Linked DNA regions of Tribolium castaneum. Each later gene encodes a partner of the first gene's protein in a complex. Links are inferred from orthologs where the notes say so. Each region holds a gene or a part of one and is shown on either strand. Other genes may lie near its edges.

Evidence for each region.
Region 2: Brd8 (region 1) and YL-1 share a complex: the UniProt entries of both Homo sapiens proteins name them as parts of the nuA4-related complex. The link is inferred for Tribolium castaneum from reciprocal best matches to the Homo sapiens genes BRD8 and VPS72.

The regions. Positions count from the first base shown.
Region 1 is NC_087396.1:10,840,449-10,844,802, forward strand, and holds the start of Brd8 (bromodomain-containing protein 8), read left to right. Parts: upstream 1-1,286; 5' UTR 1,287-1,687; coding exon 1,688-2,078; intron 2,079-2,199; coding exon 2,200-4,316; 3' UTR 4,317-4,354. UniProt on the Homo sapiens protein: May act as a coactivator during transcriptional activation by hormone-activated nuclear receptors (NR). Isoform 2 stimulates transcriptional activation by AR/DHTR, ESR1/NR3A1, RXRA/NR2B1 and THRB/ERBA2.
Region 2 is NC_087397.1:8,922,005-8,926,000, reverse strand, and holds YL-1 (vacuolar protein sorting-associated protein 72 homolog), read right to left. Parts: upstream 2,360-3,996; 5' UTR 2,214-2,359; coding exon 2,077-2,213; intron 2,027-2,076; coding exon 1,900-2,026; intron 1,844-1,899; coding exon 1,747-1,843; intron 1,696-1,746; coding exon 1,245-1,695; intron 856-1,244; coding exon 636-855; 3' UTR 600-635; downstream 1-599. UniProt on the Homo sapiens protein: Deposition-and-exchange histone chaperone specific for H2AZ1, specifically chaperones H2AZ1 and deposits it into nucleosomes.

The DNA.
Region 1 (4,354 bases):
GCTTTTATTTTCATCCGTTCACGATGCAACATTCATAGAGTACCTATTTATAAGTAGAATGTAAAAGAATAATGAATATCAATTATATCATATAATTTATGTTAAAATAGGTTTCACAAATTCTTGCCATGATGAATCCTAGCCTAGACTGAAATTATAAATATTGCTTTGTTACGTAATGAGAGTAGAGTATATGAAGTGTTTTAGTTGTAAAGGATGTAGTTACACACACTTTAGGGGTTAAAACTGCAATTCTGTAACGAAGTCTGTTATATTTTTACCGAAAGTGCTCATGCTGTTATCAAATTAGGTGACGTAACTTTGGGAAATGCTTTTGACGATGAGAGCGATTTTAACAAAATCATTTCTTATTCACAAAATTACGATTTGTTGAAAATTTCCTTCACAGTCATATTCACCTTATAAGTAGGGATTTTTTTCAGAATCATGTAAATAAATGTAGAAAAGTGCCTATTTTAAATTGCGCATCGCTACCCTCTTGGTCAACTATTAGAGTAATCTCAAATTATTTAATGTTTTAACTGTTGTTATAATTTGGTTTATAATTGAATAAAGCTGCATTTTTACAGTTTGCCCGCATTTCCTTCAACACACAAAAACATTTCAAACAAATTTATTCAACTACTATGTTACAAAGTAAACTATCATAGCGTGAAACACAGTAAGAGGACCGCAAATCCCAGACGCTCATACTGATTCATGATTATTGCAGCAACGCCAAAACGAAAAGCCGCTTTCATAACTCTTGCATTCCAAAACATTATTATCAGACGCAGCCAAGTTGAGGAAGGTCTTGTCACACTTGTCTCAAACGCTGGTGCATTCACCGGCTTGTCGTTTTTTCCACCACTTTTATGAAACACTCCATATTTGTCGATGTAATAACTGATTCGCCCTTCGGGGGCCATTCTGAATACTGTTTCCACCTTTTTTTTTTTTTTCAAAGAGTATCCTTACATTTGATTGTTATGTATACACTCACAACTTCTTTTTTTACTTCACTTTGGGACACTGGGTGGAGCTACCACCAGAAACAGCTTCCAAAGCATTCGAAAAAAACATTTTTTATTGCATTCCATTCGCAAGAAAGTGAGGTTAAAAATTTGACAACTTGCCACTAAAGTAGCTACCGCGCAAGCTACCGAAATACTTAATAACAGAATATGCCATAAAATTCGACAAATACAAAAAGGTGGCCACAATCTATATGTATTTGATAACATTAAACCAGCTACACCCAAAATACACTAATTAATTAAAAAACAGTCATTAAATTAATACTTTTCGATCATAAAAGCCCTCGTCAAAAATCACGGTCTGTACGTAATATCTAATAATGTCTGCGTATGAAATTTTCAAGATTATTAATTTTTATGAATAATAAGATCTTACGAAATTATTTAGACAAGTGTGCTTGAAACATTACATAATCTTACACTGATTGTGGTTGACTTTCTTTAAAAATCAGGCAAAACTTCTGCATAGTTTGTCCAGGTTTGACACTTTGACAGTTGACAAATATAAACAACGTTCAAGCTTGTTATAACGATAATTCTTGTGTGCGAATTTCTACTTCAAGAATGTTTATTCAGTGATACTATTAGTCACTTTCCTGGCAAGGTTCTTGTATTTGATTTTTGGACGTTCGGGCCAACATAACCTCAAAATGAGTTCAATTGAAGAACGTTTACAAATAAAGCGTGAACCGCTGGATAAATGGTCAATCCGTGAACAGTTGGCTCTAGCAGTGGCTCGTAACATGGACCAGAATTTAACAAGTGTGAGCCGAGCTTTAAAACCCTTTGGTGAACCCAACAGACCCCCTGATTGGTTCCACCAGAAGAACTGTGCAGCCCAGTATGGGGCTCTTTTAGCGAATGTTGAAACACCTAAGAGGAAGAAAAGAACGTCTGGGGGCGAAGTCACTATCGAAACCCCCGCCGAAGTCATTCTACGCAAACTTTTGGCCGAGAGACAAGCTGAGCTCAAGAGACTACTAGCGGAAGAAAAAGCAGAATATCAGAAATTGCAGAGAGATAAAGCTCTGCTTCAGTCAGGTATTCACAATTAAATTAAAGTTGTTTGAAGTTACAGGGGCTATATTAGAGCCTCTCAAACTTAAGACTGTTGCGGAAATTCGGTTAAGTATTTTTTGATAATTAATTGTTTTATTTAAAGGTAACGTAAGTGAAGAACAACTGGATATTTGGTGTAAGGAAATAGATGAAGAGGAACACAGGAAGGAACAAGAAGCCCTGGCACACGAACAGTGGCTAAAGGAGAGGGAGTTACGAAAACAGGAAATAGAAAGAGCGTGGAGACCAGTTAAGCCATCCCCGGTGATTGGTCAAAAACGTAAAAATTCCGAAGCTATGGACACAATCCCAGAGATGGAAAATACAACAGAAGAACAGAAAATCCTAGTGCAGGAGCCCCCTAAACCGGCCCTATCGCCACTTCTGACAAGTCTTCTGAAATCACCATCACAAGTTCCAAACGTTACAACTTCCTCAATATTGCATTCAGCGATTACCAACCAACGGCCAACCAACACAACTACTAGCCCCATGATTGCCAGTCTTTTAAGCTCCTCAACTGGAGAAACAGTTTCTCCAGGATTGCAACTTTTGGTTAGTACAGCTATAGGACAAGAGCCAACCGGAGAAGAAACCCAACAACAGAATGTCAATACTAACGATATCCTCGATGATGCCAATCTACAAATTTTGAAAATTGATGACTTGGCGAGCAGTATCTTGATCCAGAATGGCCCACTTCCAGAAATAAAGAATGACGTTGATGTTATCATCTCCGATTTGATTGAGAACGCGCAGGATATAGTTGCAGATCCGGAACAGCATCTACAACTGGATGGAAACGGTGATCTTAATCTAAATTTGGAACTGGAAGATTTCGAAGAGAGTGAAACTGATATGAAGGACGAAACCAAAGAAACAGAAAAACGGACGGAAACTACAACACCGGCAATAGATCCGTTTGAGTTCCAAGAAGATCCGGAAGTTTTTGAACCCGCTAAACCTGCAACAGCCGTGAAAACAGACGCTTCTAAAACTATGGTAGCACAGGACAGCGACGATCGGTCACAAACTACTGACGAAGCCCCAAATTCAGACAATAAACACTTAACTTCAAATGGCGAAGAATCTCGGGATGAACTGGTAGAAGTAAAAAACGAACCAACTGATGATTCCGATAAGAAAGATAAAAGCACAACTCCTGGATCCGTCGAAATTGTAGAAGTTGTAGTTATGGATGATGAGGATACTGACAAGGAAGTCAATAAAACTGAAGATCCAGCCCATTCCGTTAAAGCGGAACCAAAGAAAGAAACAGCAGGGGAAAGTACAGAAGTTGCGGAAATAAAATCAGAAACAGACGCCAAAGTTTCAGAAAATGAAAAATCTAGTGTAGAGATTGAGAAGAAAGACGAAAGGAAACTGGACGAGTCAACCACATTGACTTCCGACTATAACGAGGAATTGTACGACGATATCAATATGGAAGTGAAAGTGGACAAGACCGGGAAAGCAAAGCGCGATTATTCCAGGACGAAGAAGAAGGACGATAAAGAATTTGATGTTCTCTTGGCCATTGAAAAGGCGCAAAGAGACGAAAGTGAGTTGGTTGAAGAGAGTTTCTCTGACCGGGATTACAGCGAACTGGACCGTAAAGACAGCAAATCGCGGATTAAGAGCGAGAATGAAAGATCTAACAGTCCCTGGACGGAGGAGGAAGATGTGTCTACAATACGGACAAGGAGGCGACTTTCAACTCCTGCGACTCCGATTGATTCAGTTCCAGGATCACCAGTTTCCAGTATATATTTTTACGATGATGATCGGGAGTATCGCAATTGGAAGAAGTCTATAATGCTTGTGTATAGTAGATTGGCTGCAAATAAATACGCGTCACTGTTTTCTAAACCGATCACCGATGACCAAGCTCCAGGGTATCACAGTGTGGTGTATAGACCCATGGATTTGTTGACGATTAGAAAGAATATAGAGAATGGGGCTATAAGAACAACGCAGGAGTTTCAAAGAGACGTCCTTCTTATGCTTAATAATGCAATTATGTATAATAAAACAAATGATACGGTTTATAATATGGCGAGACAAATGCAACAAGAGTCGATGCAACAAATACAGATTTTGTTGCAAGCGCAATCGCAGGATTTGCCTGTTAGGAGGGAAACTAGGACTAGTGAGCCAGGGTGTAAGAGGAAGAGGGGTAATGAGGAGAATTCCAGGAGTAAGAAAAGGAAGGATGATTAGCATTACGTTTTGCGGTATTCGGATAAGCTGTTTGATTT
Region 2 (3,996 bases), on another chromosome or scaffold:
CAATAGTGTTACTATCAGACATGTGCAATTTGTAGAGAATGTTTTATTGAAAATTGTTTTCGGACATGAAATTGTTTTGCTGAGAGTACTTTAAAGATTTTTTAACTATTATAAATATTTACATTATGTTGTACTTAGATTAGAGATTAATTTCGTTTTCTCAGAGTTTTAACGAATTGTATATTAAAACAGTAATCTATTAACAAATTCGCATTGTTAATCGAACTACTCTTTTGATATACACTGTTCATACTCAAGTGCTAAAATTATTTTAACAAAGTAATAATGGCATTAATTAATGAGGTAGCTTATCAAATACCTATTAATTTTATATGATATGTTAAACTAGATGTAATTTATGTGTCATATTAATAATATTTAATGTTATTAATTCTTGTTGTACTTCATAAGCCAATTTTCAGCCAAATTATTGGCTACTGAGATTATGGTAATGTATTATTTGTGCACCAGTTTAATAAATATATTAACTAAACGTTTTCGACGCTTTTCATTCGTCCAAATTTGTTGCAAACTCATTCACTAACATTTAATCGTGTTGATCTCAGACCAAAACAGTTTTATTTGAAAGAAATAGAAACTGTATTATAAAAATTTATTAAATAGAGCAAAATAAATCAACTGTGATCCACCTGATGTGTTTTTACTTTCAACGCCAACTCCCTCCTTAACTTATCCTTATTCTTAACGTACCACTTAAGCCAGTTTGCAACTACTGGATTACTCTTATCTCCATGAGCTTCCAGTTGTTGGTAATAAGCAGAACGAATTATCTTCAAACACATGCTGCTGTGGTAAGGCAGACACGTTTTAGGGTCAACGTACTTTGCAAGGTGACTGAAAACACAAAATAAATAAAAATAAAAAAATGCGTCGCTTTTTAGAAAATATTTTGCTCCCTAATTCAAAAGTGCAAACTATGTCTTTTCCTCCCTAGACAGGAAAGACATACTGTGCACATTGCACCTCCAAATTAGGCGAAAAAAATATATACAGGGTGAGTCACTGTAATATGCCTGCAGATTAAATTGTAGAAAAATAAAAAAATAACCCCTGACATTTAAAAAAATTATGTTTAGACTGCACTGTAAAAATGGAAGACTGTATTATCGGACAAAGAATTTTAGAATACGATACCACTGACGGTGTATGTCATATCAATGACTCACCCTGTACACGTGACGGGAGCAAGAATTGCCCCTGCACATATAAATAGCTATTTTTACCCTGTGACAATGCATCTGAGACGTCGTGGAAGCGGACGCGCTGTCTTTTTTTCAAAAATGCTGTTAAATGTGGCATCGTTAGGGTCATTAAGCACTGAGATAAACGTGCGTTCGCACACGTTTTCTGATTCGTTCTTGATGTCTTTATCTTGATTGATTTCCTCAATGATTGGCATTCGTGTTGATCTGTATTGGATAACAGGGCCATTGATGACTTTTTTCACAGTTCGTTTCGTTTTCTTCTCACTTTCCATCTTTTGGTACTTTTCAAGTGACTTCAAGTTCTCCAATTCGGTCGTTTTTGCTTCTTCGAGTAACTCTTCCTGTGTTGGCACCCATTCTTCTTCTTTCGGTTTCTTGATTTTTTTCTTTTGTTCGAGATTTCGTACTTTGATGCGTTGTGCTGTTGCGGCTGATTTTGCAGCTGTGGACTTCCTGATTGACTTTCTTTCTGTAACACGTTTGTTGCCAAATATTATTAACTAACTCGTTATTTTCAAACCGTATTCTGTGGATTCATGTTGGGTTGTTCTGACTTTAGGGACAGGTTTTGTGGGTTTTGGTTTTGCTTTTTGTTTACTGGGTGCAGGCACTGGTTCCTACAATGTTTCAGATAAAAATTAACAAAAAATCGAACGTCATAATCGTGCATTACCTTGTAAGCCTTTGTAACTAATCTTCGTTTCTTCTTCTGACCCTCCTCCTCATTGTCTGAAATAGGTTCGTCATTTTCGTCAATACTAAAGTCGGAATCTACCACATCTTCGCCTTCTTCCTCCTCCCTGCAATTAAACCATAACAAAACGGAACAAAATGAATCAGAAGTGAGTACTCGTATTCCCTATCGGATTCGGTTTCTTCAAAACCACCATAATTGGTTTTGTAGAATTCGTCTTGACATTCTTCTTCTTCATCTAACAATTTTGCCATACGGTTACCGGCATTTGCCCGTTTTTCTCTTTTTGCCATTGTAACGAATTTCTCGCCTGGGACAGGGACAACAAACCAATGATAAGTTTTATTACAAAGTAAATGGTTTTTATTTAATATTTTTCCTAATTAAATAAAAAACACAAGCACTAAACACCATCTGTCAAACTGCGAAATTTTAAGGTTAGTATTTTGCTAGATACCATAGAATTATCAGTAAGTACCAATAGCTAAGTTTCATATGTCACTGCAACAAGCGTTCGAGTCCTTTCGTATTTTGGTAAAAAAAGATTTTGGCACTTTACAATGAATGAATGGAATAAATACGTGCGTGTGGGAATATTTTTAGAATTGATCTCATTTTTTCCTCCGCAATAACCCCACCAAAAGGGTGAAAATGAGTTATTTCTCGTCTTTTTGTTGGTGGTCCTGATAAATCGAGGGGAATTACAGAATTATCAATAAGTCGTCTTCAGCTGCTGCTGACGTTGCTGTTGCAAAGGTAGGTAATTGTTACAATAGCCAGCCACATTTCCGTTACAAAAAGAGAAAACAAAGATGGGAGTTCAAGGCATAGTTCTTATGACTGCGATGGTTTTTGCAATTGGGTTGGCCATATATGAAGTCTACACTGCTAGAAACAACACAGCTTCTTGTCACCAGAGCGACAATAAGTATACATATGTGTACACACCGAGGGTACAGGAAAGAACACCAGATACAGCAGATACAGGAAAGAACAAGTGAGTAACTTATTATGTAACTGCAACGTACAAAAACACCTTTTTACAGAAAAAAAAGAAGAAACTCGGTTCCGGAATGTGTGATATGTTGTGAACCATTGCCTGAAGGTGATGGTGGCATTATTTTACCATGCAAACATAAATTTCATGATCAGTGTATCACAAGATGGTTCAAAGAAAACAGAAGTTGTCCAGTTTGTCGCAAATGTGCATAAACTAAGATACAGTAATTTTTCTCAGCTAACAAATCTCAACATATCCTAGGTTTATTAGCATTAGGAACAGCATTACAGCTACACTCATGCTTTTTTCCTATTTTTTTAAATAACCTTTGATTAATTAAAACAACTGAAATCATGACAATTATTATGAGCAATATGTACAATTTTGTGCCTTTCAGGATGTTAACCGAATTTTAACATTTATTGTTTCCTAAACTGTATGTAGAATTGTAGAATGACTAGAATATTAATTTATTTGTCTCATTGTTTCTTGTAGAATATAGTTTTTCATTTTTTCTTGTAATTTGAATGAAAGGAAAATGTACAGGTCAAAAATAAAGTTTTTTGAACCATTTTTTGTTGTGTATTACTAATCCCAGCCAATAAGTTTTGTAAAAATAAAGTGAAAAATTACTGTAACCGCGAATATTCCGATTTCAGAGAAAGAAAGTTGTTAGGTTATGTAATATTGTTGACAGTTATTTCTGACAATAACAAAACCCTGTTTATCAGCTTTACACTCAATATGTAAGATATTCGTAAGTGGTTGTGAAGCAAGCAGACATCAAACAACTAGCCTGCACCCTAAAGACACTTTGACCGTAATTAAATAAGTCAAAATTGGGTTTGTAAGTTTGTTGGGAATTTTAGTGCCAGGATGGTTTTCCAAGGATTTTCCTTCTTTGCCATGGCCATCGTGGGTGTTGGCGTCCTCGCTTACCATTTTTACAAAAACAGAGAAGCGTATTTTTACGAAACCCCCCAGACTTACAACATTTACAACCCTCCTGAACTCCAATATCCAACAAGTGACGACTCCAGGTATTACCACCCTTATTTTTGTACTTTCGTGCTCAA